4 linked regions of the Lonchura striata genome follow. The protein of the gene in region 2 interacts with the protein of the main gene of each other region in a pairwise test. Links are inferred from orthologs where the notes say so. Each region holds a gene or a part of one and is shown on either strand. Other genes may lie near its edges.

Region 1 (6,661 bases), on a different chromosome or scaffold from region 2:
GCCCCAGGACGGAGCTGTGGGCACCCAAAAACACGGGGGACCACCCCAGACTGCCTGGGGGGGCATGGCGAGCTGGGGCTGTGGGGGAAAGGCATCCTGAGCCCCTTCAGCTGCAGGAGAGGCACTGCGATTTGGGGTCCAAGGGGTGCAGTGGGGCTTGGGGGGGTCAGACCGTGCCCTGTGACCCCCCCAGGTCGGTGTCCTTGCCCCCCCCGGTGTTTCTGCGCGTCCCCCCCGCAGGGGAACTGAGCCCTTGTGAGGTCTGTGTGTCCCGTGAGTGGGTTGTGGCTGCCCCTGTAAATAAAACTGCATCTTGACTTGGTATCCCTGGCATTAATTACAGCTCGTTAATTAAACAGGGCCTTTACCCCTCCCACCTCCATCTCCACCCACTCCATTCAGCACGGGGCGGGGGGGGGGGGAGCCGGATTTGTTTTTATAAGACCCAGAAGTGTGGGTGGGTAGGAGAGCAGCTCCCAGGGCAGGAAGGCGACCACTGGGGTGACTTGACACCCTTTATTTGCATTAAAAAGTCCTTGGGAAGAAGCCACGGCCCGTTCCAGTGCTGTCCAGCTCCCCCAGAGCTGGGGCTGGGGACCGGCAGTGGAGTCTGGGGGGGGCACAGCCCCTTTTTGGGGGGCAAAGTCCGGCAGCGAGGCTGGGACCCAGCGCGGGGACGGAGGCCGCGGTGCCGCCCCGGCTCACCCCGCCTGCCCGTACAGCCCGAAGGCCAGGAGGGTGACCAGCACGGTGACACCGATCAGCGACACGGTGGCCGGGGCCGTGAAGAGCTGCCGGTAGTTGATGCGGAAATACCAGCCCAGCGCCAGCACCACCATCACCGTGGGCACCATCAGCGTGCCCCCGGCCAGCGGCAGCCCCGGGGCCGCGGGGCCGGCGGGGCCGGGCTCGGGCAGGGCGGCGGTGGCCGCGGTGGTCCCCCGGGAGCGGTGGCAGTGGATGACACAGTTGTCGGTGATGCGGAGCGAGCGCAGCGTGCGCGCCTGGTCCTGCAGCAGCTGCCCGCGGTAGATGAGCTTCATCTGGGCCTCCTGGCCCGGGAAGCATTTGCTGCGGGAGGAGGGAGGAGGGTGGGGGCGGCGGAGACCCCGGACCCGCCCGGGGAGGGACCCGCCCGGGCTGGGAGCCCCTCCGTTAAACGGGGAGGGTTCACCACGGCACCGCCACCGCCGCCTCTTTCGAACTTGCTGTCTCAAAGCCCACACCCCCCGGTATTTTTGGCACATCGGGAGGGATGAACGCCCTCCCCCGTCCCGTGGGAAGCGGCTGTTCGCAGCGGGGGCCCGGCAGCGCTCCCCGCGTCCCCCGGCCCTCACCTCTTGAGAACCCCCACGGTGTCCTCGGGCCGGGCCACCGCCACCTCCTCGGTGTCGTTGAGGAACTTGAGGCGGATCTTGATGAGGCCGGGGCACGCGTCACCGGTGCCCCCGGGCTCAGCGGCGCCCCGGGACAAGCCGGGCGCGTCCAGCAGCTGCTCCAGGCCGGGCTCGGGGCCGCTCCCGCTGTCCCCCGGTGCCGCCGCCCCTTCCTCCTCCGTTTTCTCCTCCGCGCCCGCGGGGCTCCTGGGGGGCTCCGGGGCCTCGGCCGCCCCCGCGGGCCCCGCGTAGGGCGGCAGCGGCCCGAGGCGGATGACGGCCGCGTCCCCGGTGCCCAGGAGCTGGCTGCCGCCCTCGGCCACGTACGTGGACAGCCAGGCCAGCACCAGCGCCAGCACCAGCACGGCCACCCCGGCCACCAGCGTCACCTCGTCCCCCACCCCCACGATGAGGGGGGCGGCCGGGGGCTCCATCTCCGCGATGCCCGCCTCGACCTCCCGGTGCCCGGTGTGAGCGAGCGGCGCGGCGGCAGCGGGGACCCCCGGGGCTGCCCCGGTGCCACCTTCGGGCTCACAACAGACCCTGGGGCCGCTCCCGGTACCCGGAGACCGCAGGGACGGGAGCTCCTCGCTGCGGATTGTCCTCCTCGCTCCCGAGACACCGAACCGGCGGCGCTGCGCTCACCTCACCGGGCCCGGCGGAGAGTCCCGGGGGTGCCCCAGCCCCTCGGTGCCCAGCGGGGCAGGGTCAGGCCATCCCCGACCTGGACGGAGCAGAGCGATGCGGTCAGCGGGGCCCGGGCATGGCGGGGCGGGAGGAACCGGGGACGTCCCGACCCGTGCCCGGGGCTCCCGGTGTGTCCCTGCCGGTCCCCGTGATTCCCGGGGGTGCCGGTGCGTGCCCGCCATGCCCGGCCATCCCGGGGGGTGCCGGTGTGTCCCTGCCAGCCCCGCGGTCCCGGGTGTCCCCGCGGTCCCGGGGGTCCCGGTGCCCCCCCCACTCACCGCCTCCCGCCGCCGCCGCCCCGCCGGAAGCGCCACGTCACCGCGCGCCGCCGCCAGGGGGCGGCCGGGGGCGGCGGGCGCGCCCCGGGGGCGGGGCCAGAGGGGCGGGGCCAGCGGAACGCGCCCCGAGTGGGCGGGGCCAGCGGAACGCGCCCCGAGTGGGCGGGGCCGGCGTGGGCGGGGCCACTTGGGGCGGAGTCACCGGCGGGGCGGGGCCCGGGAGCACCGTGGGAACCCCGGGCTGAGCCCCCCCGGGACCGGAACCCCCCGGACCCCCCGGCCCGGCTGTAACCCCCGCCACGGCCCCCACATCCTCCGGGGCCCGTCTGTCCCCCCCCTGCCACCCAAGGGCTCTGTCCCCTCCTCCCCCGTCCCCACTGCAGGTGACGCTGCCCCGCTGGTCCCACGGGGACAAGGACACCTCGGGAGCCACCTCTGCCATGTCCTTTACTGACAGCAGGGCACGGGGAGGACACAGGCAGCGGACACTCGTGGGGAGCAAGGAGGGCACGCAAGAAGGGGGCAGCGGCGGGGACACATGGAGTGCCCTCAGGAGATGAGACCCTCGATGGGCAGCTGGAGGTAGCGGCGCAGTGCGGGTGGCAGCGCCAGCTCGGGGACAGCGGCGCGACAGCGGGCGCCCAGGTGGCGCCGGATGGCCACGCGGGCCAGGTGCTGCAGCCGCCGCGGCCGCCCCGCCATGCGCACGGCCGAGGCGTAGAACTCCCGGTGCTCCTGCGTGGGGGGACACGGGAGGGCTCGGTGCGCCGGGATGGGACACGGGCACGGCCCGGGACCCCCCAGGACCCCGTTACCTCCCAGAGCTCGGGGGGCACGGCCTCCGCCCAGCCGTCGGCGGGGGGCACGCGGTCGTAGGCGTTGAGCATCACCTCCAGCGCCGGCGGGTGCTGGCAGCACAGCCTGAGCATCTGCCAGCAGAGCCGTGTCACCGGGGTGACCCCCCCGGCACCCCGAGTCCCCCGTCACCCCGTGCCCCACCTTGGGGTGCGCGGGGAGGGCGCCGTGGTCCAGCAGCAGGGCCAGGATCTCCTCGGGCCGCTGCTCCCGGTACTCGGGCACGGCGCGGAGGGCGCAGTCCATGGGGGTGTCCCCGGCGCCGTTGGGCACGGCGGCGTCGGCGCCGTGGCGCAGCAGCAGCCGGGCCAGCGCGGCGTGCCCGTTGGCACAGGCGTTGTGCAGCGGCGTGTGGCCCTTGCGGCCCGCGGCCCCGGCCCGGGCGCCGGCCGCCAGCAGCCGCTCGGCCACGCGCAGGAACCGCTCGGCGTCCTCGGGGCGCTCGGCCGCCGCCGCCGCCGCGTTCAGCGGGGTCTCGCCCTGCTGGGTGCGCCGCTCGGGGTCGGCGCCGTGGTGCAGGTACAGCTCCACGTGGGCCGGCAGCCCGTGGCGCGCCGCCACGTGCAGCGCCGTCACCTGCCGGTCGCGCGTGCCCAGGTTCACCCGCGCGCCGTGCGCCAGCAGCAGCTCCGCGCACCTGGAGCGCGTGGGAACGGTGAGCGGGCGCGGCGGGGACACGCGGCACCCGTGGGACGCGACCGGGACGTGCCAGGGAGACGTGATTGCAGTGGGACACCCGCAGGGACACCCCCAGGGACACCCCGGGAAAGCCTGGAGTCACCTGGGAACCATGGGACACCCTCAGGGACACCCCCAGGGACACTCCGGGAAAGCCTGGAGTCACCTGGGAACCATGGGACACCCTCAGGGACACCCCGGGAAAGCCTGGAGTCACCTGGGAACCATGGGACACCCTCAGGGACACCCCCAGGGACACCCCGGGAAAGCCTGGAGTCACCTGGGAACCATGGGACACCCCCAGGGACACCCCGGGAAAGCCTGGAGTCATCTGTGACCTGTGGGACACGGCCAGTGACACCCTGGAGTGACCTGTCACCCATGGGATACCCCCAGGGACACCCCGGGAAAGCCTGGAGTCACCTGGGAACCATGGGACACCCTCAGGGACACCCCCAGGGACACCCAGTGACACCCTGGAGTGACCTGTCACCCACGGGACGCTGCCATGGGCACCCTGGAGTGACCTGTCACCCACAGGACACCCCCAGGCACCCCCCAGGACACCCCCCAGGCCCCTGGCTCCCAGGTTGCGTGGGTGGGGCAGGAGTGAGGATCTCACGGGCCCCTCCTGCAGTGAGCCCGCCCTGGCTGCAGGTGAGACCCCACAGGTGAGACCCTGCAGGTGAGACCCCACAGGTGAGACCCCGCAGGTGAGCCCGCACCTGAGGCTGTGGGGCGCGGTGCAGAGGTGCAGCGGGGCCGAGCCGTCGGCGCTCAGCACGTTGGGGTCGGCTCCGAAGGCCAGCAGCAGGCGGGCGCAGTTGGGGTGGGGGGCGGCCGCGCTGTCGTGCAGGGGGGCCCGGCCCCCCACCACGGCGTCCACGGCCGCCCCGCGGAGCAGCAGGTGCCGGGCGCAGGCCTCGTAGCCGCGGGCGGCGGCGATGCGCAGGGCCGAGGTGTGCTCCCGGCGGGGGCTCAGCACCCACAGCCCTGCGGGGGTCAGCGGGGGCTGCCGGACAGCCCGCACCCCGCTGGACCCCCCTCACCCACACCCACCCACCCTGGAGCTGGCGGGAGCAGTGGGGCGCCCATGGGGCTGCCCCGAGCACCCGCCCTGCCCCAGACTCCCTGTCACCCACAAACCGGAGCAGCCAGCCCCGCTCCCCCCGGAGCTGCACCCCCTTTTCCTGCCCCCCACTCGTTCTGCAGGGGAACGGGGGGGAGGGAGAAGCAGGGAAGGACCCCCAGCCCCATGGCCGGCCGTACCCTGCTCCGGTGACCACACCAGCTCCTCGCTGACCATCTCCAACACCAGATTGGCGCTGGCCTCGTCCCTGAAGATGCTCTGGACGCGGGGCAGGTCCCCGGCGTAGAGGGCGTTGTGCACGGCGGGGTCCCGGCAGAGCTGGCGCCGCCGCGGGGGGCTCGGGGGGGCGCGGGGGGTCCCGGGCAGGGGGCGCGAGGCCGGTGCCCGGGCCAGCGCCCGGCGGCGATCCTCCCGCTCCAGCAGCTCCCGCTGCAGCCGCAGCGAGCGCAGCGCCGAGGGGCTGAAGGCGAAGCTCTCGTGGGCCATGGGCACCCGGCAGGGCAGGGCGGGGGGCTCGGGGCACAGCTCGGGGATATAAATAGGGCCGTGCCCCACAGGCGGGTGTGCAATCGAATCCCAGAGCCAGGGGATTATAAATAACTCCTGGTGGTAAACAGAGTCACGGGGTGCAGGGCAGCTTAAACTGTTGGTGGGCGCGAGGTGGGGACGTCCCACGGGGAGGGACCTGGGGATCCCTGGTCCTGCAGGGCTGTGAGAGCCTGGGGAGACGGCTCCTCACACCCGGAGGAGCAGGGACCCCGGGAAGGAACAGGGGTGACACACGAGGACACAGGTGATGCAGAAACCAAAGAGCCCTTTAATGCAGGTTTGGGGGCCCGGAGCAGCGCCGAGGCCTCGGGGTGCCCCGGCTCTCGGCCCCACAGCAAACACCACGGACACGCAGGGAGCAGCAGGGGGGTGCCAGCCGTGCCACCTGCTCCTGGCACCGCCACCCTCAGCAGAGCTGCTGGGCTCAGCCGCAGTCAACCCGAGCCGGGGCTGAGAAGAAATCCTCGGGCAGCTCTCCCAGGAGCCCGTCCAGGTCATCTGCAGGCACAGAGGATGTCACTCGTGTGTGTGTGTGACCGTGGCACTGCTCAGGGGCCAGGCCCGGCTTTCCCCAGGCCGGAGAGCTTCTCCTCCCCTCCAGGGTGGCTCCGACTCACCCAGGTCACATCCATCCGTTCCCACCGGTCCTTCCCAGCCGGGATCAGAGCTCGCTGGGCGCAGGGAGGAGCCCCCGGGACGCTGCTCCGCGCTGGGTCCGCCTGTCCTCGGCTGTCCCCGGTGCTCGGGAGCAGGGACAGCCCGGGTGGGCCGTGCCGGGGGCTCTGGGCTCAGCTCAGCCAGGCCAGGGACCTGCAAAACCCAGCGGGGATGGATTCCTGGGGGATTTACCCAGCCCCCCCTTCTCTCGAGGGTCCCCAGAACCCAGACCCCCCTGGGGTCCCAGCAGCCCCCCAGGGCCGCCGGTGCCCCCCTGACCTGGCGGGGGGAGCAGCCCTCGGGCTCGGGTGGGAAGATCCGGAGGAGGTTGTTGGGGGTCACGTTGAGGTAGTGGTTGCGGTGGGAGGGGGAGAAGACCCCGACCTGCGGAGAGGGCAGACACAGCTCCTGGATAAACCCCCAAGGTACAGGTCCCCATTCATGGAAATCTCAGGATGAGGGGTGACATTTTAGGAATAGCTGAGAAAAAT
Region 2 (7,966 bases):
GGGAATTTGGGGCATTCCAGAGCCTGGGATCCCAGCAGGGAGCAGCTGGGGGAGCTGCTCAGTACCTGTTGCAGAAATAAACGGCGTTGGCTGGGTTTAACTCGATGGCTTTTCCATAAAAAGACACGGCAGCCTCGAAGTTTTCTGCCTTCATTTGGTCGTTTCCTGAAAGGAGGGTGGGAAAGGATGGAAAAGAACTGGGATAAACCAAAGCAAAGGCCTGGATCCATGGAAATAGCACAGGGGAGAGGTTTGTCAGCGTGGGGCAGGTCCAGCTGCGAGGCTGTGCTGGAAATTCCAGCATTCCTGATGCTGCATCCCAAAAAAAATCACCCCAGCTGCTGGCTCAGGGGGGAAGTGCTGCATCCACACTCATCCCACTTTTTCCCAGGAAAAAGCCACGCACAGAGCAGGAGGGATGGATGCTCTGCTCCACACCCCACAGGGTTTTTGGGATAAAAATCCCACTGCTCCAACATCCCTGGCAGCAAAATCTCCCCACACTTCTGCAAACCAAACGGAGCAAGAGGCAGAAATCGAAAACATTTTGTTTTTCCCCTCCATTCCAAGCATTCCTCAGGTGCCAGGGAATTGAGATCCCCTCCCAATTAGCACCAAACCCTCGTTATCCAGCAGCTCCAGGGCTTGGTACCTTCAGTCTTGAGTCTTTCAGCTTCAGCCACATCATCTTCCGAGGGAGTGACGGGCTCCGAGTTCGTTCTGGAGTGTTCCGGCTCCTTCCAAGGAGAGAGGGAGAAGCTGAGCTGAGCATTCCCACAATTCCCATTTTTCCAGCCCAAAACGTTCCCCTCCCACACGGAGCTCCTGAGGAGAGCAGCAGCCTCCAGGAAAATCCAGCAGAGCTTAAGGAAAAGGGAACGTTCCAGGGCACTCACTCACCTTCCCTACCACAGCTTCAAATATTTCGGGGAGGGTCTGGGACACAGCCAGGCTTTGGTCTTCCATGGAGACCCCAAAGGCTGTTTCCAGGCACTGGATGGCCACTGGATAAGGAGAATCAGGTCATTAATTAATAAACATTCATCCCTCTCCCTCATCTCTCAAAAAAACCAGGAAAAACCCCACCACTTTCCCCACGCCAGATGGGATTTTTGGGCTGTACCCTCAGATTTTGGTAAAACTCAGAGCTGGGCAAAGCTTCCCTCTGGATATCCTGGATGGAGCCAACCCCAGTTCCCATCCCGAGGGATTCCTGCTGGGGCTGCAGCAGCATTCCCACTGCTGGGAATGTGGGAATGGCCCAGAATTCCAGGGAGAGACCCAGACATTCCCCTGGCTCTGGGAGCCACCTCCTCCCTCCTCAGGCTCGGGAAGCTGCTCCCAGGGAAAGGAGAGCCTCCTGCCACATTCCACATCCCAAAATATCCCGCTCCCAGCACCCCACAGCCACGCTCCTTTCACCAGGACAAACCCACAAACCAAGGACTAAACCTTAAGCTCCTTAGGGAGATCCTTTTAAGATCCCTGTCCTTTGGAAGGGCCTGGAAAAACCCTGAGGGATTTTTGGGGAGCAGAAGAGGAGAAACAAGGCCAGGAGCACAAAAAGCTTCCCTGGAGCTGGGGAATTCCCACCTCCCACCCCACGGAATGCTCAGCATCTAGGATGAACCCTCTGAGTCTCCAAGCAGGGATCAGGGAGGCTTCTGTCCCCAGCTAAGCTGCTCTTGGAAGAGATCAGAAGCCACATGAACCACCAGCACCCCTGGATAAATCCCCAAAAAAGGAAAAATCAACTCCGAAATCCCAGCGAGGTTCAGCACCGGCAGCAGCCCAGCCAAGGGTAGAAAACAGGGAGACAACGGCGAAAATTCTCCCAAATTTTGGGAGATGCACCCACCTTCCAAACTCTCCTGAGCGTCTGGAGACATGCTCCCGTTCTGGAGCTGGGTGTGCAGGAACTGGATGATGGAGAAGGCCAGACGCTTCTGGTCTGCCATGCTGGGAGAGAAGGGCTGCGAGGGGCCGGGCTCCTCCTCCTCCTCCTCCTCCTGGTGTCCCAAAAAATTCCTGCAGAGGCTCCAAGGCTGGGCTGGAGCGGGGAAAGGCAAACAGGGGTTTGCTGCTGCTGTGCCTCGGAGGAGGCCAGGATGGATTTGGGGGGATGAGGGAGCTGCCCTGTCCTCTCGGTCAGGGAAGAACTCCAGAACTTTCCTGATATTCCTTAGGAATTCTCCTGGCCTGGATTCAACCCAGAGGGTTGAAACCCTGGGAGCACTGAGGAGCTCACCAGGAAAAATTCCCAATTTTCTTGCTCCTGAAAGCAGAGCCAAGAGCGGGAGGGATTTGGTAGCCCCTGGTAGCCAGGGCTGTCCTGGCGGGGAAAAGGGAAAGAAATCCCAAAATCCCAAAGCACAGAGAGCCCAAAAATTCCCGAGGCTGGGAATTCCAGTGATCCCGGGGCAGCGAAAGCGAGCCCCGGACCTTAAGTGGGTTTGTAGCACAGCCAGGATCGTTTAAGCGAGGAACGAGCTCCGTTTCACCGGAGTCCCACGGACCCGAGCGGAACCAGAAGCCCCGGGAGCAGCCCCGGGCCCGGTTGGGTTCCCGTTCCCCGACCCGGGATCTCCCGTTCCCCGGCTGGGATCCCGTTCCCCGACCCGGGATCTCCCGTTCCCCGACCCGGGATCTCCCGTTCCCCGACCCGGGAGCAGCCCCGGGCCCGGCTGGGATCCCGTTCCCCGACCCGGGAGCTCCCGTTCCCCGACAGCACGGCCCAGCACCGGAGGGTCCCGGCGGGGGCCCAGCCCCGGTGCCCCCGGTGCCCCGGTTCCCCATCCCAGTCCCGGTGCCCTCCGGTGCCGCTGCCCGCAGGCGGAGCAGGACGGCGGCTGCGGCGGGCAGCACAGCACGGCCCGGCACCGGAGGGTCCCGGCGGGAGCTCAGCCCCGGTCCCGGTGCCGGTCCCGGTTCCCCCGCGCTCACCGGACACTCGCCTGGGCCGGGCGCGCTCCCGCACTGCGCATGCGCCGCGCCCGCCGCCCCGCCCTCCCCGGTGCACCGGAATGGGCGTGGCCTGGCGCGGAAGCCCCGCCCCCAGCGGGACCATAGAGATGCCGGCGTTGCCACGGCAACGCGCGGGGGCGTTGCCATGGGAACGGGCGGGCGGGACCCGGGGATGCTCCGCGCCCGCCCCGCGCCCGCTCCCGGCCGGCCCGGAGGGTCGCGGCGGGGATGAGCCGCCCCCGCCGCCCGGCCCCGGTGCGGCGCGGGCGCGGCGGGAGCGGCCCGGTCCTCCAGGCTCCCAGCATGCCCCGCTCTCCCGCCCGCCTCTCCGGTCGGGGCACATGCTCGGTGCGTGGGGCCGGCCCGGTTTCCTCCCGGCCTCGTCAGCAGCGCGGGGCCTCCCGGTACCCCCGGCACCCCCGACATGGCCCCGCCGACAGGTACCGGCGGGATGGGGGCACCGGGGAGAGCGGTGAGGGGAGAGGGATGGGGCGGCAGCACCGGGCCGGGGCCGGTCCCCCGGGCCGGCCGGGGTCTCCTCTCCCCGCGGGTCACCTCTGTGGCCCCGTCCCCGAGCAGCCGGCGGGGCACGGAGTCGGGTTTCGGGACCGGGAGGGGCGAGGAGCGCCCGCTCGGCGATCCCGCCGCCGATTCCCGGCGGCCGGGCTCTGCCCGGAATGCTCCCCCCGAGCTGTCGCCGCCGCTGTCCCGCAGGGAATGTCGTGGACGGCCAGGCCCCGCGGCCCGTGGCCAGCCAGCTGCGCTGGGACCTGACGGCCGAGCAGATCGAGGCCATGGCCGCCGAGCTGACCGAGAGCACCAAGCTGGTGTACGACCGCGTGGGAGCCCAGGAGCGCGGGGAGGTCTCCTACGAGAACACGCTGAAGGCTCTGGCGGACGTGGAGGTGGAGTACACAGGTGGGATCAGGCTGGAGGGGACTGCTCCTGCTGGAACAGGGTGGGATTGGGCTGGGGGAGCTGTTCCTGCTGGAGGAGGGTGGGATTGGGCTGGGGGAGCTGTTCCTGCTGGAAGAGGGTGGGATTGGGCTGGGGGAGCTGTTCCTGCTGGAAGAGGGTGGGATGCACAGGTGGGATCTGTGGGATCAGGCTGGAGGGGGCTGTTCCTGCTGGAGGAGGGTGGGATTGGGCTGGGGGAGCTGTTCCTGCCGGCAAAGGGTGGGATACACAGGTGGGATCTGTGGGATTGGGCTGGGGGAGCTGTTCCTGCCGGCAAAGGGTGGGATACACAGGTGGCATTGGTGGGATCGGGCTGGGGGAGCTGTTCCTGCTGGCACAGGATGGGATGCACAGGTAGGATCTGTGGGATTAGTGGGATCGGGCTGGGGGAGCTGTTCCTGCTGGAAGAGGGTGGGATGCACAGGTGGGATCTGTGGAATCAGGCTGGAGGGAGCTGTTCCTGCTGGCACAGGATGGGATTGCTGGGATTGGGCTGGAGGAAGTTGTTCCTACTGGAAGAGGGTGGGATACACAGTAGGATCAATGGGATTAGGCTGGAGGGGGCTGTTCCTGCTGGCACAGGGTGGGATTGGTAGGATTGGGCTGGGGGATCTGTTTCTGCCAGTAGAGGGTGGGATCAGTGGGATTAGTGGGATCAGGCTGGAAGGAGCTGTCCCTGCTGGAAGAGGGTGGGATACAAAGGTGGAATACACAGGTGGGATCAGTGGGATTAGGCTGGAGGGGGCTGTTCCTGCTGGCAAAGGGTGGGATACACAGGTAGGATCTGTGGGATTAGTGGGATTGGGCTGGAGGGAGCTGTTCCTGCTGGAAGAGGGTGGGATACACAGGTGGGATCAGTGGGATCAGACTGGAGGGGGCTGTTCCTGCTGGCAAAGGGTGGGATTGGGGCTGGGATAGCTGTTCCTGCTGGCAGAAGGTGGGATACACAGGTGGCATTGGTGGGATTGGGTTGAGGGAGCTGTTCCTGCTGGAAGAGGGTGGGGTACAAAGGTGGGATCTGTGGGATTGGGCTGGAAGGAGCTGTTTCTGCTGGCACAGGATGGGATGCACAGGTAGGATCTGTGGGATTGGTGGGATTGGGTTGAGGGAGCTGTTCCTGCTGGCACAGGGTGGGATGCACAGGTGGGATCTGTGGGATTAGTGGGATTGGGCTGGGGGAGCTGTTCCTGCTGGAAGAGGGTGGGGTACAAAGGTGAGATCTGTGGGATTGGGCTGGAAGGAGCTGTTCCTGCTGGCACAGGATGGGATGCACAGGTGGGATACACCTTCCTCTTCCCGGGAAGGCGGGAGGTTCTCGGCTTGCCCAGAGCGGCTGTGCCTGCCCCATCCCTGGGAAGGTCCAAGGCCAGCTTGGGATAGTGGGAGATGTCCCTGCCCATAGCAGGGCTGAGCTTTGAGAGACTTTCCAACCCATTCTACGATTATTAGGATTTTTGGATTTTTTTTTTTTAGCTCTGTGCTGTCACCTGCTTTTCTCTCCCCGTGGCTGCCAGCAGAATGTTGGTTTTATTCCCAGTTAATGTTTACACAACCAGGAGCCAGCACAAAGAGCAGATTTGGAAAAGCAAATTAACCCAAGGCCAGCAGGAGCAGCCATGTCCCCAAAGCTGTCCCAGCTTTCCCGTGTCACCAGTGGGAGCAGAGAAAAGATCCCAAAAACTCTCACTTCCTTCCTCAATTTTCCCTGGGACAGTGGACAAATGTCTCTCCATGTGCCTTGTTTGCTGCTGGAATTTTTTGGGAGAGTCAATCCTGCTGGGATTTTTTGGGAGACTCAGTCCTGCTGGGATATTTTGGGAGAATCAGTCCCATTAGGATTTTTTGGGAGGATAAATCCTGCAGGGACTTTTTGGGAAAATCAATCCTGCTAGGATTTTTTGGGAGATTCAATCCCGCTGTGATTTTTTTGGGAGAATCAATCCTGCTGGGATTTTTTTTGGAAAATCAATCCTGCTGGCATTTTTTTGGGAGGATAATCCTGCTGGCATTTTTTGGGAGATTCAATCCTGCTGTGATTTTTTTTGGGAGAATCAATCCCGCTGGCATTTTTTTAGGGGTGGGGAGTACCACGACGTGATGGCACCAAAACTGTGCTCTTCTGGTGGCTTTCTGGATGATTATTTGCAGCAGGGTGACAATTCTGTGGCCCCTCCTCGTGACACCTGGGCTGCTCCCTGTGCTCGAGCTGCCCCACCTGTCTGGGGCCGGGAGCAGCCTCGTCCTCCTCCTCTCCCAGTTCTTTTTTCCCTAAAATAATTGGGGAAAAAGCATAATTCCTTTTGCTCAGCAGGAGGAATGTGCACCTCAGCACGGCTGTCAGCACTTCCCTGCCTGAGCTGCCTGTTCAGCTTCTGCTGGGGGCAGAATCCAGGTGCCTGGAGAGCACCTGGAGTGCTGCTCTTGGAGCTTTTTGCAGGGATAACAGCAGGGAATGTTCTCCTTGCCTTCCCACGTGGAATTGCGTCAGGACAGGGCGCACCTGGGGCATGGTGGCTTTTTTGGGAAGTGTCTGCGGGAAGGGATTGTCCCACTTTGAGCTTTAAAGGAGGCAGGGAATGCTGCTGCCATCAGGAATCGTGGAATTCCTCCAGCTGCAAAGGAGCATCGAGTCCAACTCCTGGCCCTGCACAGGCCTCCCCAAACCTCCCGTGCTGCCACAGCTGGGGCAGAGCTGTTGGGGGCTCACAGGCACAGAATTCCCGTGGATTTTGGGAGGATTGTGGCGGGAATCCAGCAGGGTGGATGTGCTGGGCAGCAGGGAAGGCACCAAAGGGAGCAGGAGCCACATCCCACCTCCCTCCCCTGCAGCGTGGTGGAAAAGGCTCTGGGGCTGCCAGCCTGGCTCCGGGCGTGTGCTGGGACGTGGAGCCACCATCCCTGTCCCCTTTTCTCCTGCCAGTCCGTAGGAACATGCTGGATTTCCCCCAGCACGTGTCCCCCTGCAAGGCCACCCGCGCCGCCAGCACCGAGGCCGACAAGAAGCTCTCGGAGTTCGACGTGGAGATGAGCATGAGGCAGGACGTGTACCAGAGGATTGTGTGGCTCCAGGTACGTCCTCTGCCACCTGCAACCCCCTGGAATTCCAGCAGATCCTTCTGCCTCATCCCAGAGCTGAGAAGGGAACGATGCAGGAGTGGGGTGTGGGCACGGCAGAGGGAGGGGTGGGAAATTTGGGATTGAGGGCTCTGCCTCCACTCAGAGCCTTGATCCCCTCTTTGCTGAGGGGCTTTTGGGAAATCCAACCCATCTCAGTGGTGATCCCCCTCCAAAATGCTGATGGGGCACAAAGGTGACGTGTTTAAAGCAGCCTGGTGTCGGAATCTGTGGTATTGATGATTCTGAGATTGTAAAAGTCTCTGTCTTTCAAAGAATCAGCCATAATTGGTCTGTGCTGGTTTCCAGGTTGTTTATTCTGTTTATCTCTCACATGTTCTGCTGCCCTGCCCAGCTCTGTCCTGCAGGGCAGCGTGTGGGGCTCTGCCCTCAGTGGGATGTTACAAACATTAAATACCAGAAACTCCCTGGGCTGCATTTACAAGAACGTGCCAATATCTGTCACCTACGTTGGACAGTGTGTGCCCAGCCTGAACCAACAGAAAAATGCCAACACCACAGTGAGACATGGAGGGCATGAAGAAGGAGAAAAAGGACAAGGCACACCCAATTTCCTCCATCTTGTCCCCTTTGGACCCCTCATCTAGAATCCTAAAATTTTACTTTTGCACCCGTGCCACACTTAATTGTTACTTATATCAAACCCTCAGAGCTGGTAATTCATCCTGTCCGCAGGATGTAAGATTGAAAACTCTTTTCCATGGCCAGAGATCACAGCCAGTGTCTCTGGGGGCTCTGTCCAGGGGGTTCCTGACCCCTGCCAGGGTCCCAGGGCAGCCAGAGGGAAACTCTGCATTTCCACAGTTGGGAGGAACCCATGTCCTGAGGTGACACAGGAACCTCTGCACCAAACCAGAGCCTTCCCTGGAGCTTTTCCATCTGCTGGTGTTCCCAGAACTCCCACTGGGAA
Region 3 (7,362 bases), on a different chromosome or scaffold from region 2:
AATGAGTAAGCTCTTCTAAAGAATCAGACAAAATTAAGACATAAAGTGCACTTTCCTGGATCAGACACTTGAGCACTTTTGAACTTTCCCAAGCAATCAAGAATGAAAATACCTCAAGAAAAAATCAAATATTTTCTAAAGATGCTGAATGTCCAGGAGCAACCATGATCGTCCACATACATCTTGTGTGTTCACAGCTCACCCTGGTTTCAGCAAGTCTTATAATCAAGCTTCTTGTTGGGAATCCTAATATGGATTTAGATCCTTTGCTATTAATAGTTTAGCCATTGAATAATTAATAGCTCTGCTATTAAGCTGCATTGCAAAGAGCTAATGAATCTTAACAGAGAAAAAGGAAGGGGGCAATTAAATATCTTCAGTGATCCTGTGTATGAATATCAAGAACTTGCTCACACTGTCTTATCACACAAGTGTTTAAAGAAAAGATTTTTTGGGATTCTTGCTAGCATCTCTTAGGATTATCTGTTGTCCATGATGATCTTATGAAGAAAAAGGGTATATTTCCTCATAACGTGGAGGTGACAAGTTATTACGGGCATAGTCTTCCAGCAGTCCTTCTGGTTCATCAGAACTGTCTTCTGACCTGAAAAGAGGAAGAGGAGCAGATACAAAAAGAATTTACCAAACACAGAGCACTCACCTAACTTCAGTGTTTCATCCTCTCAGCCTTATCTGGGAAAAGTACCCTCCAGCTTATTGAGAAAATGCTATGAGATTAAGTTTACTGAGATTCAGCTGTTTGCTGTTTTTTCATGAAGTTTAGAAGTGTCAGAAGGTGACTTTTGTCTTCACCCTACCTATGCCTGTCACCCATATTGCTGAGGACAATGGGTCAGTCAGCAGGTTTTTTTTAAAAGACTTTGATAAATGAACTAGCAGTGACTTCTGTTGTAGCAAGGATGTAATTATGAGTAATCCCTATAATTAGAATATTTTTCCTTGGAGGAAAGAACTATATAAAATTATTTTGTGTACAATTTGAGCAGCTCCATACTGCTGTGCAACGTGATTGATATTGTTTATGCCTCAAAACTAGGAAAAGAGGAAGAGAGGACTTTGGTTTCCCAAGACAATGTAGGGTTTTACAGCCTCCTACCATGAGGTCTTTACAATGTTTGGTCTCCTGGCCTAACAGAATGCCAGGACTATTATAAGTTATCAGATTTGAGGAATTATAAGCATGCATGCTAATAATACTGAGACTATAAAAGAGTTATATAAAAGGTGTATTAAAAAAAAGACAAAAAAATCATCTTGGGTATCGTACACATAAAGGATGGTGAAAAATTACTCCTCCCCAGTACTCTGGGAAATATTTGACTTAATATCTCCTTACTAATTTCTCCTTATTTTCAATGGCTGTTAATGTTAAACTTAACACCTCTATGTACTTTTGATTATTTACTTCTAGAGTAACCTCCACATTTTTGAATGTAATGGTTGCTTGTAACTGCTCCAGTGTCTCTCCCTAGAAGTGCCTTTGAAGAATTGAGCATATAGAAAGACTTGTGAATACCCCATTGTTTCCCCAATTTATACTTCACTGAAAACCAAAAGGCATTTATAAGTGAATTTAAATTGTATAAAAACACTTTCCAGGAAAAGTATGTTTCCTCATTCAAGAAAAATTCTTAACAAAGACAAAAAAATGTCTGAGAAGGATAATACCCTGGACTAGCCATAGTTTCTTATGAAAACACACACAGTATTTAAAAAATTCAGAAGCCTGTGTCCAAACACACTAAGTCATTTCAGAAGATGTACCTCTGATTCCTGTAATTCTCTGCAGGATAGTAGCTCTCATCTCCTGCAAAAGCCAGGTTATCCAGGGTGTAGGCAGGGCAGAAGTGAGGAGGACCCGAGGCGAGAAGTGGCGAGGCGCTGGGGGGAGCAGCACCGCAGCAGCTGAGCCCTGGGTGAAGGTAGCCGGGACTCCCAGCGGCGCCTTCCTGGGATGGGTACGGCGGAGGGATGTACTGCACCACCGTGGCACCGTGGAAAGTTATAGGCTGGTTAATGCCGGTGAAGACAAAGGACTGTCCACTTGCAGCCTGGTCAAGTTCCGATGTATACTCCTCTCTTTCTTTACAGGGCTTACATGTAAGCATGTTAAATTTACAAACAGCAATCAGAACAAAAGTCACCCCGACAGACAGCAGAATAGGCCCTAGTAACTGAGTCCACTCCAGGTGAGTAATGCCATCATATTTTATCCATCCCATCACAGTGAAAGTGATCCCCACCAGTCCCAAAAACACACCTGAAAAAAGTAGAGTGGTGCCAGCTTTATCCCCATCTGACACCAGGGCATCAGACCTGCTTGGCTGACAAGGAGTGACAGAAAAGACATTCAAGGAGAAATCTTCTACATTGTTGTTGTTTTGCTCCATTACTGAGTATAACGTACCTTCTCCTTCAAGAGAAAGAGGGCTTGTAAAGGACTTGCCAGAGCATTTAAAGTCGAAGGTTCAGGTTAGTTACACAAGAACTTTGTGTGTGTATGGTTAACAGAGTCCATCATGTGAAAGAATAAACTTTGCTTGAAAGAACAAAGGTCTGGGAATTGAAGCCTGAAGCCATCACAAAAGATTTCTTGAATTACTACTATCACTTCCGAAATGGATTCACCCCTGCATGACTGCCTGTCTCCTTGGGCTTCTTCTTTAATTTAGCACTCATGATACTGTGCTCATTCTGGATAGCAGAAAAAGCAAGCTGAAGTTATTGCAGCTTTTCCTTGGCCCCAGCTAGCTGATGTATCCAACATATGGACAGCGTATGTTTAGTCAGCAGCACTGAATAGATCCTTGCTCTCCACTTCCTGCTCAATTTTCTGCAGGAAAATTCCACATGGCCATAGCTAGGAATGCTTTTCCACGCTCTGAAACATTACATTTATAGTCATGCCTGGACCTCTGCTGCAGCTCATTTTGCAGTTTGTGTTTAAAAAAATAGCAAACTACAGTTCCTGGTATTTTTCTCGGGTAACCACTAGGTGAGCAGGAGGGTAAGTGGCAACAGGATGGTGAGCACTGAGAAGCCTGGGAGAACAATTGGCTGTGGGAGAAAACTTTTCAAGAGAGCCAAAGCTTTCCAGCTCGTTGAAGTAGTAAAATTACCCTATAATTTCCCCTTAATTCTGGACATTTTTTGTTGTAGGTTTTAAGGTTTATAGAGAAAATGCCCAAGTACCCTGAATAGCACATCATTGCAGGAATGAGAAAGCATCTCCTGTAATGCTAAACTTGACAGAGTGAGGAATCTTATCCTGTACTCACAGGTACATAGGACACTTCTTCATATCACAATTAATTGTTCTACTGAACTCCTGTCTCATGTATTAAACAGACAGATTATCGAATTTTGAAATTTTCTGTTTCCTAACAGTTTCAGACTAAAGTAATTGCTGCTGGAGGGTTCTGGTAGAATGTCTTCGTGTAATTCCTTAAGGAGGAAACATCTCCAAATACTCTGCCTGTTTTGACTAGCGTGGCAGGGTACTACACACAGGGCATTGATTACTGCTCATGCAGTAGAACACATTATGCTATTTCCTGCTACCAGTAGTTCTGGGGAAGCAAGCTTATCCTGAGATTTGCAAGATTAAAAATAGCTCTAGAAGTAGAAAGTTTACCTTTTAGACTGCTTCTTCAAAGACAGTAAAAGTACCTTTAGTCTACTGTGCATTCACATCACACTGTGTGACAACAGCTCTTTCTTGGAAAGGGTTATTCACCAAAGTCGGCACCTTTAGAACTGATGATGAATGCAATTGCAGATATCTTTCTCATTTTTTTAGCACATAGACTTTGAGGAATATTAATGCTGGTTTCCTTAAAAAAAAGAAAAGCTGTGAAACTTCCAAACGCAGCATTATTAAGTCACCACTGTCACCCAGGGTGTCAACACATTTTCTGACAAATACACTCAAGATCAGCCTTTCCCACAACACTAAGTCTGGTCAGGATTCTCTGCACTTCTTGAGTAAAGGATCAATCTTGCAATGCAGTGGTTTTGTATGATGACAACTCAATTATAAAGTGCTGAAATACTAGATAAAATTTCCTTGCACTGATAATTACTGCCAAAGTTTAAGTCACCTTTAACCTTACATTTGTTAAACTTCATGGAATGAACTGTTACTGCTCTTTACAAGTAAGATTTTTCCATACCATGAATCATCCTTGCCACTGCTGAATCTTTCAGGCTTTCCAACATCCTTTTAAAAGCAATGCTATATTATAATAGCTGTCTAGGTTATAGTTTATACAGATGTAGTGTCACCTTGCTCCTTTCATTCATTCAAGAACTCTGCAACTACTATTTGCAATGGGATCATGCTGGAGCACTTCCTCAATCCCATTGAATGGTTCTTAGATACTGTCTGGAATCAGAATTTTCCAAGTTGGGTGTTGTGTTATCCCACAGCTGTCTCTTTTCCTCTCGTCTAGGACATGACTTCATGATTGTTGAGCAAGTGCATAGTAGAGATGAAGAACACAGGATTCTTTTTTCATTTCCAAACTTACATGCCACTTGAACTTTTAAAATAGGATTGAAGATACTCTCCATTTGGTGTGCTAGGATCTACATCAAAATTACTCCTTTCCCTGTAAACTGTCCTTTCTCTGTAAGCCAGTTTCTTCTATGCATCTCCATATTTCTCCAATTATTTGTCCAGAGAATGGTAATGCTGCAGTCAGGGAGCTGTCAAGGTTAAGAGATTATGGGATCACACTGATTTTTTTTAAGACCAGTGCTTTTCTTTGTAAGTTAGTGTGTGTTCTGGGGACTCACTTTAAAAAGTCAATTCACTAAATACATCCCTTTTACTTGGTATCACTCTTAAGCAAAAGAATTTTGTGAAACCAAGAAAAATTGGAGTATGGTTTTTCAAAATGAATACTGTTTTCAGATCTCAATATAGTTTTGTTCTCATCTGCTTCAGACCTTACCCTTCAACACAAGCACTGCTTTGCTCTCTGTTCCTCCACCTAATTTTGTATTACCACTGCAAACTTCCCCTGCAGTGATTGCTGGTGGAAGCAGGTGCTCTGTTCTCTAACCCATTTGAAGAGTCATCCTAGTGAACACTGACAGGCTATCACTTATCCCTTTTTTCTTCTCCTTATGTCACCTATTTTTACACAGTTGTTCACATTATCAGCCCCTTGTAGGAAGGTTTTATTTTCTTACATGCCAATTATATAAGCAGGGACTTAGTCAAAGAACATGCAAAAAAAGCTGCATAACACACAGTATTGCACATTGATTAGCTTTAAAATGAGTAAGTACAAATTACCACTCCATAATTTAGGGAGATTAAGGACAGTGGTTCGAGTTAGTGGGACCTTTTCATAGAGAAAAGTAACTGCACATGGTGTCTTTAGTGGAAAATATGAATTACATGTGTAAGAGCAGTACATGAAGAACCACTCTGAGTGGGCCTTTCACCCCTGAACTACTGCACTGCCATCCTCAAAGCACAAATAAATAGTGAGGAGCAGATTCAGCCAGCTGCCCACAATTGCACTTACCAGCAAGATGACTTTATTTTCTCCAGAAAATGCTGTCCTGTGAGTAAGGACACCAAAATGAAGGTTTTACCATGCCTAATTGTTGAGATGCATGCATGGGTGATAGAGGGGGTTGCACTGAAGTCTGGCATGTTCGCTGCAGAAAAGTGGAGATATTGTCACTACAAGTCATGATTCTGTAGAGACAGGATGGAAGTGGGATAAATGAATACAGCAACACAAACCACAAAGGGGAAAGATGGTGTGGGTGCAATCACACCCTTGCGATAGCAAATGCTGCCATCACAAAAACACAGCAACATCGCAAAGACCTGTGCAATCTCAGTTTTTCAAATGAGTTAACTGTTCATTCTTTTAGCTGCTGTTGATGTAGGACGAAAGACTTTTCCTAAAGACATTCATTTATGTTTGTGTGACTCCCTCTCAAATGCAAAGGATTGCAGTGTTGCAGTTAGAAGTAGAGCAATGTCAGTGCAGGCAGCAAGGAAGAAAGACTTTAACTTCAGTTAGAGAGGGCAAGCAATCCTTACCTCCCACTTTGCCTGTTTAAGTAAGTGTGAATCAGTAACCACCTTGACTTGCTCACTAGCATTTGTATGTCAAACACTTAAGCTAACCTTAGGGTAGAAAGAGGGTTATAGCACCATTAGTGGGACAGTAAAGTATCTCACTTCCTCAATAAAAATGCTATTCCGTATTATTTTAAGCTACTTTTATAGTTTTACAAGGTGTTGCTTCCTTTCTAATACAGACATTTCACTCCTACTCCCCGCATAAAAAATTCCTCCCTCTACTGCCATTCACCCAGTGGTAGCCTTCAGTGGTGAGGGCAGACTTGCTAGCCTCTTACTCACATTTTCTGACCTTGCTGCAACAGATTTCAACAGTTGGCAAACACTGATGCACTGGCTGTGTTAACTACTTCAGTGCTGAGCAGTCTGCAGAGAGGCACCAGCACATCTACTGAGTTTTCAAGTAATGATTTTCTAAAGTCAAAAGTAAAAGATGCTTATACAGCTGTAAACTGATCTATTTCCTAAGCATCTTCTCAAAATCCTAGAGAGATAAATTCAGTTTTCAATCCTTGTTTTCAGGGGTAACATCCAGCCTTCTCAGGAAACTCAGATGCTGAGTCTGAAGCCACTTTCTGAACCATAGTTTCTGTAAAGATTGCTTTTTTAAAAGTAAAGTGATCTGTACTGAAGACTCTGCAGTAGATGTTCCAAATACAGTAACCTTGAAGGAAAACAAGATTATGTCTGTTACAGAGAACTCAGATACGGCAACATATTTTGCTTGATTTGTCTGGTCTCTTGGGTACATCTTGGGAACAACTGACTGAGCAAATTGAAGGCAGAAGAAGAGCTTGATACTTTTTCAGTTTACCACCAGAGGTAACTGATTTTTTTTTAAGATGGTGAAATTTTTCCAGATTTATGAAAACATGTTTTGATATTTAGCCTTTTCAGAAAATGAGTGTTCTGAACAACAGGATAAAGCTAACATGTTGCATGGGATCTTTCCAGTAAAATACCCCAGCTTCTGTTCTTGTTATATGATAGAAGGATAAATTGAGAGAGAAACAAGCACCTTAGACATGTGCAAAGCTTTGTACACACAAATCATGTACAGTAGTGAGTCCCACTGTTTAAACAGTAGGAGAAAAAACTTGAAAAAATAATCAGAGAGATGGCAAATTATAGCTTGTGTTGCAGATTGCATGTAAGGAGAAACATCCTTGAAAAACTCACTCTGTAAAAAATGTTTGAGAAAAAAGGACAAAATCCCTACTGGCTTTTGTGGA
Region 4 (7,995 bases), on a different chromosome or scaffold from region 2:
CTCCTCACACAGGCACATCCCTACGGTTGATGCAGTGGCAGGAGTAAGCTCAGGATTCCTGCTCCCATCAGGATGTTGTACTCCCCAATTCACAGACCTTCTCCTGCCTTTCCCTGCCTGCTCCCACCCCGCCTCTCTTCCTCCTCCTCCTCCTCCTCCTCTTCCTGCCAGCGCCACAGCGGAGCCCAGCCCCGCTTAATTCTCCTCGGGTCTCCCCCGCATCACTCTCTCCTCTAAATCCAGGCTGCAAAAGAGCATCCTGCCGTGCAGGAGGTGGCCGTGACACCGGGGTCACACGTTCTCCGGGATCACACAACGCCGGGGTCCCACCCGCAGCGCTGCCGGCCGCCCACGCCACCACCCTCCCCAGTGGGAGGAAAAACCCACCCTAAGCAAACGCTCTCCCTCCGGGCTGGCATCCCCGGCTGGGAGGGCGAGGGCTGGCAGAATTGCCGGCCGGCATTTCTCCTCCTAGCCTGGGATGCCGTCCCGGAAACAATTGCTCCATTATCCTGCAGGCGCTGGAGCGAGGGCCAGCTCCTCCATCAGCGAGGAGAGGGCTGCAATCCCCAGCAGGAAAACCACATCGTCCATTCAAACCTGCTCCGTTCCCTCCCTCCCACAGCCGCGCACCCAATTTTAATCCCTCGGGGGATGCGTTGTGCAGAGAGGGCTCGGGCAGAGGAAGCCGAGCTCGCCCAGAGCGGCTCCCGGCCCCGCAGCTCGGTGGTTAAAGAGGAAGAGGTGAAGCGAGCCCGGACGCGGCGGTTTGCACCGAGCGGAGCTCCCGGGGACTCGGAGGCGCCGCTCCCGTCTCTCGCCCGCACACCCCTCTTGCTGCAGGCAGAATTTAATCTGCGACAACCCTGCAAATCCCTGCGTGCCCCCGATTCCCGCTTCTCCCCTGAACATCCGCGTGATTCCCCGCTCGGAGGTGAGCCAAGGGCCACGAAGAGAGAGATACGGCCCCGGCAGCTGTGTCCGCCGGGCCGGGGCTGGCCGTGCCGCGGGGCGGCCGCCGGCGCCCGGAGCTGCCCACGGGCCACACGGGACGACGGCCCCATCGCCCAGCCCGGTCGGCTCCACCGGCCGGCCGGGCCCCCCTCGCCGCCTGCCACCCACCCACAGCCCCGTTGCCAGCCCAGCTTCCAGGCAAGCAGCTGGACTCAGGAATGCAGCCGGATTCCTCTGCTTAACCCCTGCGCGGCCGCCCGGAAAGCACCACAGCCCGCAGAGCCGCCCCTCCGCTGCTTCCCCAGCGGCCCTGCGCCCATCCAGCCTCAGTCCTGTCCCCTTCCCGGCCTCGCTCCTGCTGCCGCCTTCTCTCGCTCCTCCTGTCGTCACTTTTCCATAGCCACCCTTGATAAAGGCACGACATCTGTCACTCCGCGGTGCCCACTTGTCCCTTGTGCCCATGGATGCTCAGCTCCCGGGTGCCGTCACTTCACTAGGGGAGCTGAAGATCGCCCCATTTCCTTATTTCAGCACTAAAACAGAGCTGCTTTGTGCCCATCTGGCGCCACATGAGCCCCCATCCCACGGCACAGCCCCGGAAGGGCACTCACCAGCTCCTCCAGCTCGGCCAGGTGCCTCTCTGTGATGATCTGCTGGCAGTAGCTGTTCTGCTCCGTCTCATGGATGCGGAGCAGCAGGAGGAGGAGGGACGACAGCAGGGAGCAGCGGAGCAGGCACACCTGAGCACGGCACAGGAAGAGTTTGAAGCAGGGATAAGCCACACACATGCCAAGCCCCCTGCCAATCTCCACCACCCCCCGGCATGACCACCTCTGTGGGAGCCGGCACTTGGCCACGGTCCAGCAGGATAATCCCACTGTGCTCCTCCAACCCCGTGCCTATCCCCATCCTGCTATTTTTAGGAGCTCCAGGTCAGCAGGGAATTTCCCAAGGCCCGGTGACACACGCCTGAATGTGGCCCTTGGCCACCTCCACATTCCCGATCCAGCCCCTCTCCCCTCTCCCGAACCATTTCTCCGTCTCTCCTGCAAATCTCCTCCTCCGCCCTGGCTCTCCAGAGCCCATCTGACACACTGACCCACCCATCCCCAAAAAATCCTCTTCCCACCCTCCAGACCCCCCCAGCTGCACCCGCCGGGCTCTTTCCATGCAGCAGCTCTGGCCTCGTCCCAAATTTCCCTCCCAATCCCCCTGCAAAGAAGCGGGGAGGCCCCGATCCGTGGCGGGACCCCGGTGAGAAACGGGGCTTGATCCAGAGCCAAGACTCCCGAGGTGGGGGCGGAGGGGACCCTCGGGTGGGTGTGCACCCCTCTCCCGGGGCACCGGCAGGGGACAGGGTGCCTGGGTGATGAGTGGGGGGGAATTTCCCTTGGATGATATCCAGGAATCCTCCCCTCTTGTGAAACTCCAAGATGCCGCCCGGGCCACCGCCGAGATGTGGTCACGGCTGAACGGAGCCTCACCCCGCCGGGAACGGGCTGGGGACGGGGCTGGAGCCGGGAACGGGGCTGGAGTCGGTGACCGGGACGGGGCTTCACCCCGCGGCTCCGGGGCTGGAACCGCGCCGGGGGCTGGCGCCTCATCGCGCAGGTCCGGGAATGGAGCCGGGGCTGCAGCATCGCCCCGCCGGGGACGGGGCTGGGGCCGGGGACCGGCCGGGGCCTCCCCACGCCCGGTTTGGGAATCGTAACGGGGCTGGAGGCGGGAACCGGGAACCGGGAACCGGGGCCGGAGCCGCGGCTTCACCCCGCGGGTGCGGGGCTGCCGCGGCCAAGCGAGGCGGGGCTGGAGCATCCCCCGGCGGGAGCCGGGACCCCCGGGGGACGGGACCCACCGCGGGGCACGGGGACACGCGGGGCCGCCGCTCCCGCGGGGGCCCCGCACAGGTGGCGGCGGGCGCCGGGCTGGGGGGGGTCTCCGCGGCCGCGGGGAGCGGGAGGGGCCGCCGTACCTTGGCTCCGAGGCGGGGCATGGGGGCTGCCGTGGGACCGGGGCCGGGCGGAGCGGGCGAGGCGGCAGCGGCGGCGGGGCCGAGCGGGGCCGGGCTGAGCCGCCGCCGCGGCCGCGCTCCCCTTTATAGCGCCGCGGCAGCATGTGGTTTATGAGAAAGCCCTGGCGGGCGGCCAGGCCCCGCGGGGCCCGGCCCGGGCCAGCACCGGCAGGGCACCGAGCGGCACTGCCGGCTCCCGTGTGCACGGCTCGGCTCCGGGCAGAACCGCTCAGGTCCCATCGGAACCGCTGGGGCCGTTCAGTCGCTCGGACTCGCCGCCGCTGGGGTCGAAGCGGCGCCGTTCGGGTTGGGCTGGAGCCGCTCGGTTGCGATGGGATCGGCTCGGCTTTCCCGGAACCGGCTCGGCACGGCTCGGCCCGTGTGTGTGAGCCCCCGTTATCGCAAACACACGCGTGTGTGCTCACCTGGGCGCACGCACACCTCTGCGTGGATGCGCCACGGACAGACACCACCCCTGCGTGGCCACGGGCACCCCGGGCGCCGGTAGCCACGGGCACACGCACAGCCCTGAGCCTGGCACGTGTGTGTACGCACACACACAACTGTGCACACGCGGGGACCCCTCGGAACGTGCACGTGTGCTCACACCCCCGTGTGTGTGTATGGTCACCCCTGGGCACTTTTATCCGTGTGAACATAAACACAACCCCCCTGGATGTGCAGGGACACCCCTCAGAGCACGCACAGAGCTCTGGGCCTTGCACGTGTGTGCTTGCTCATCCCTGGGCACACACACACACACACAGACACACATATGATGGACACCCATCAGAGCATGCAGGGATGGATGCATCAGCAAGGATGTGCATGGACAGATCCATGAGCATTGATCAGCCCACGTGTGCACAGGCAGATCCATCTGCACAGATGGACCTGTACGTGCACAAGCAGATGCACTGGTAGGGATGTGCACGGACAGATGTCTGCATACGTGTGCATGATAGATCTGCATGAACATGGACAAATCCGTGTGCATGGATGGGTTCACATGAGCACAGACACATCCAGGGGCATGGATGGGTCCACACATGCATGGAGAGACCCATGTTTGCATGGAGAGATCCATGTTTGCATGGATGGATCCCCATGGGCATGGATGGATCCACGTGTGCATGGATGGATCCACGTGTGTATGGATGGATCCCCATGGGCATGGATGGATCCACGTGTGCATTGATGGTTCCCCATGGGCATGGATGGATCCATGTGTGCATGGATGGATCCACGTGTGCATGGATGGATTCCCATGGGCATGGATGGATCCATGTGTGCATGGATGGATCCATGTGTGCATGGATGGATTCCCATGGGCATGGATGGATCCACGTGTGCATGGATGGATCCCCGTGTGCATGGATGGATCCACGTGTGCATGGATGGATCCCCGTGTGCATGGATGGATCCACGTGTGCATGGATGGATCCCCGTGTGCATGAATGGTCTATTTGTGCACAGAGGGTCCCCATGTGCACAAGCAGATCCATGTGCACAGGTGCAGATCCGTGCACAGGGATCTGTGAGGGGCTGGATCCGGGCCCAGCACAGCCATGCAACATGGGATTTTCCTCTCCGCTGCCTGTTTGCTTTCCAGGCGACTGGAAGTGATTAGTGGCCACGAGGTGATCCACGGCGGTGCCAAGCACTCGGCATTCTGACAGGAAACCGAAAGCAAACTGCTCCACAAACACTGGCATGTGGCTGCAAGAGGGGATGGTGACAATGGGGCCAAGTGTGGGTGACAGCCACCACATCCGAGCTTCCGAGGGGCCAGCGGGATCTGCTCCCCAGGGCCGGAAACCCTGCTGGGCTTGCAGAAGCTGCTGAGGGGTTTTCCTGGAGCTGAGAGCTCATTCCAGTAGTGATGGGTTGGGATCAGTGATCTGCTGGAAGAGACGGGGAAGAGTTGGGAAGCAGCTGGAGTTGGGGACAGCAGTGACAGCCCCAAGATAGCGTCAGATTTGCACCAGCACATGGGTGCCCCAGCTCTTGTCACCCTCAGTGTCCCTTAGCAACAGCAGCAGATAAACATCTGAGGGTGCTGAGGGTGACAGGCTGGGGAAGGAGTAGAAATCAGGTTTAGAAATCAGCTGTCCTCCCAAAATAACCCCTTTCTCCCCAAAACGCTGAGACATTTTTCATCACAAGCTATTCTGGGAGCCTCGCAGCCCCCGCGCTGGGAGGACACCGGGGTGGACGCCGGGGACACGGCGGGTGACGCCAGCACCAGGGGTGACTCACGGGGACCCCGTGGCAGCACATGAGGCCCTTTCACACCGGCTGAGGCCACGGGCTGCTCATGTCCCGCACACTCATTGCCCTCTGCTTTGAAGGGACAGGAAAAGTGTCATATGCTGGGTCATGGGACAAGCTGTGGGGCAGCGGGCCAGGGGCAGAAGGAGGGCAGGACAGAGGGACGGCAGGATGGAGGGACGGGTTAATATTAATCTGCCTCATGCCTGACACAGGGCGAGAGCAGCATCCGCCTCTTTTGTTTTTGGCAGGGAAGTGGCTTTTGCCCCTCCTCCCTTCCCAAACCTGCCGAAATCCCTGAGTCACGGGGCAGAAATGGGGCTGGTGGCAGAGGTGGCAGCAGCTCCGTGTGCACACTGTAGCCAGAAAAACCGGGGAGGCAAAATTTAGGGTGGTTGTCCCTCTCCCAGTGGCAAACTGGGACCAATGGCACTGTCACCACGCTGGTGCTGTGCAGGAGTTGCTCCTCTCCCCCCAGAGCCACTGTCAGCCAAGGGGGAAAGGTGGGAGGAGGCTGGAGGGCTTCCTGGGCACCCCAGGGTGCCCACGGCTGCTGCCCAGCACGGAAGGATGCAGGGCTGGAGCAAGGGGGCAGGATGGTCCCTGTTCCAAAGGGTCTGGAGCAGACACCAGCACCACCCCCATGCAGCCACATCTCCACCGTGGCCAAGGCTGGAGCTTCCCTGGACCTCAATTCCCTCTCTTCCCACCTCCCCATGGGAGTGAGAGCACATCCCAACCAACCCCTCATTTCGGGAAGCTTTTTCCAGCCAACGAGCCCCAAAGCAGGGCTAAAACCTGTGGCATATCCAATCCCTCCAGCTGCATCCTAGAGCCAGCCTCGGGCTGCCTCTCTGGAGAAAGTTATTTCCAGCACGAAAGTGTTGCAAGGTCTTAATCAGTTCCTTCCCGGTGATTCAGCGCAGGGCCAGGCCAGGATGCTGTCCCACAGCCTCCTGGTGCTGCAGCTGAGCCAGGATCCCACCGGCACAATCCAGGCTGCAGCGATGTGTGCCCGGGCTGGAAATCCCCGTGGGAAGGTCCCGGGACAGTTCCTTCAGGAGCGGAGGAATGTGGGTTGGAAGGCACGTCCCCCCAGCCCGCTGCCAGCAGGGGGGACTCAGGATGCCGTGATGGGGCTGGAGCCTTCATCCCGCAGCAAATCTCCCACTTCCCCTCCTCCAGCCCTCCACACGGGGACACTGGGACGCTCTAGGGGACACTGGGACACCCTAAGGGACACAGGAACACCCTAAGGGACACAGGGACATCCTAGGGGACACAGAAACATCCCAGGGGATACTGGGACATCCTAGGGGACACAGGAACACTCTAAGGGGCACAGGAACATCCTAGGGGACACAGGAACACTCTAAGGGGCACAGGAACACCCTAAGGGACACAGGAACACCCTAAGGGACACTGGGACACCCTAGGGGACACAGGAACACTCTAAGGGGCACAGGAACATTCTAAGGGGCACAGGAACACCCTAGGGGACACTGGGACACCCTAGGGGACACAGGAACATCCTAAAGGACACAGGAACACTCTAAAGGGCACAGGAACAACCTAGGGGACACAGGAACATCCTAGGGGACATAGGAACACCCTAAGGGACACAGGAACACCCTAAGGGACACTGGGACACCCTAGGGGACACAGGAACACTCTAAGGGGCACAGGAACACTCTAAGGGGCACAGGAACATCCTAGGGGACACAGGAACATCCTAGGGGACACAGGAACACCCTAAGGGACACAGGAACACCCTAAGGGACACTGGGACACCCTAGGGGACACTGGGACATCCCACCCAGCTCCCAGCAGCGGGGGGATCTCAGGCTTGCCCCAGCAGCAGCCCCTGGCCGCAGGGGCAGCACCCATGGGAGCAGAGCCCTGGGCAGGGAGTTCAGCCGGGCCGGGAGCCAGGGAGCCGCAGGGTCAGGCTGGGGCCGTCCCTCCTCAGAGTTACCATGACCCGGGCTCCCCACCACAGAGACCTCCCACCACCCCAGCGCGTGCTCGGGGGTCCTTGGGCACAGATAAAGCCCAGCCCCGGGGTCAGGGAGGGGTGTCCGTGCCAGGGGGGATGCCAGGTGGTGACAAGGGACAAAAGGCAGGTGACAGCCCCGCGCGGGTCACCGGCGTGTCCCCAGTCCTGGTGGCTGTGGCTGAGTCGTGTCAGGCTCCAGCTCCACTCCTCCCTCCACCAAGGAATGTGGCAGGGCCAGAGCCAAAAACCTTCCCAGGCAGCTGCCCACGGGCACCCACAGAGCCTGGGGGAGGTAGGAGGTGTCACCAGCTGTGGTTTCAGGGTGGCAAGAGGACGATGCCCACCCCGGGGCAATGTCCCTGTGCTCATGCTCTCCCCAGCATCCCCAGCACACCCTGTAGGAGGCTGCTGCAGGGCCACAGCGCCCAGCGTGTCCCGTTCCTGCTGGGCATCCCCCGAGCTCACGGCACAGCGCAGTGTGGGGGCAGCCCTGGCACCCTCCGGCTCAGCCAGGACAGTCCTGACCCATGGCTGGGGCTGCAGGGCTGTGCCAGGAGCAGCTGGGCACAAGCGGGGGCAGCTTGGAAAACAGCTTGGGAATGCCCCAGGGCAGGCAGGCCTCAGCACCGCCTGGTGCTTCCTGTCACCATGGCCAGGAGCAAGGTGACATCCAAACGTGCCAAACCCTTCCTGGGATGCCCTCAGACCGTGTGATGGACACTCAACACTGCCCCTGACCTCAGCACGTGTCCGAGGGACCAAA

Evidence for each region.
Region 1: the proteins of SGTA (region 2) and TMUB2 interact in binary tests that used the Homo sapiens proteins (3 or more experiments, as listed by UniProt). The two-hybrid records come from large-scale screens. The link is inferred for Lonchura striata from reciprocal best matches to the Homo sapiens genes SGTA and TMUB2.
Region 3: the proteins of SGTA (region 2) and TMEM174 interact in binary tests that used the Homo sapiens proteins (3 or more experiments, as listed by UniProt). The two-hybrid records come from large-scale screens. The link is inferred for Lonchura striata from reciprocal best matches to the Homo sapiens genes SGTA and TMEM174.
Region 4: the proteins of SGTA (region 2) and CSF1 interact in binary tests that used the Homo sapiens proteins (3 or more experiments, as listed by UniProt). The two-hybrid records come from large-scale screens. The link is inferred for Lonchura striata from reciprocal best matches to the Homo sapiens genes SGTA and CSF1.

Annotation. Positions count from the first base shown.
Region 1 is NC_134627.1:8,667,094-8,673,754, reverse strand, and holds TMUB2 (transmembrane and ubiquitin-like domain-containing protein 2), read right to left. Parts: upstream 2,395-6,661; 5' UTR 2,342-2,394; intron 2,101-2,341; 5' UTR 1,811-2,100; coding exon 1,338-1,810; intron 1,072-1,337; coding exon 702-1,071; 3' UTR 503-701; downstream 1-502. Other genes in the region: ASB16 (ankyrin repeat and SOCS box protein 16), read right to left, coding at 2,891-3,076, 3,157-3,270, 3,341-3,833, 4,600-4,867, 5,144-5,450; HROB (homologous recombination OB-fold protein), read right to left, coding at 5,938-6,011, 6,131-6,323, 6,450-6,554.
Region 2 is NC_134630.1:6,150,545-6,158,510, forward strand, and holds the start of SGTA (small glutamine-rich tetratricopeptide repeat-containing protein alpha), read right to left. Parts: upstream 3,010-7,966; 5' UTR 2,944-3,009; intron 2,051-2,943; 5' UTR 1,959-2,050; coding exon 1,859-1,958; intron 1,005-1,858; coding exon 901-1,004; intron 738-900; coding exon 653-737; intron 166-652; coding exon 66-165; intron 1-65. Other genes in the region: THOP1 (thimet oligopeptidase), read left to right, coding at 3,642-3,882, 6,842-6,990. UniProt on the Homo sapiens protein: Co-chaperone that binds misfolded and hydrophobic patches-containing client proteins in the cytosol. Mediates their targeting to the endoplasmic reticulum but also regulates their sorting to the proteasome when targeting fails.
Region 3 is NC_134642.1:14,863,954-14,871,315, forward strand, and holds TMEM174 (transmembrane protein 174), read right to left. Parts: upstream 2,427-7,362; 5' UTR 2,412-2,426; coding exon 1,786-2,411; intron 605-1,785; coding exon 502-604; downstream 1-501. UniProt on the Homo sapiens protein: Regulator of plasma phosphate homeostasis. Decreases serum inorganic phosphate (Pi) uptake by regulating the sodium-phosphate cotransporter SLC34A1 trafficking by PTH and FGF23 in the kidney.
Region 4 is NC_134632.1:1,180,526-1,188,520, reverse strand, and holds the start of CSF1 (macrophage colony-stimulating factor 1), read right to left. Parts: upstream 3,008-7,995; 5' UTR 2,948-3,007; coding exon 2,927-2,947; intron 1,695-2,926; coding exon 1,566-1,694; intron 1-1,565. UniProt on the Homo sapiens protein: Cytokine that plays an essential role in the regulation of survival, proliferation and differentiation of hematopoietic precursor cells, especially mononuclear phagocytes, such as macrophages and monocytes.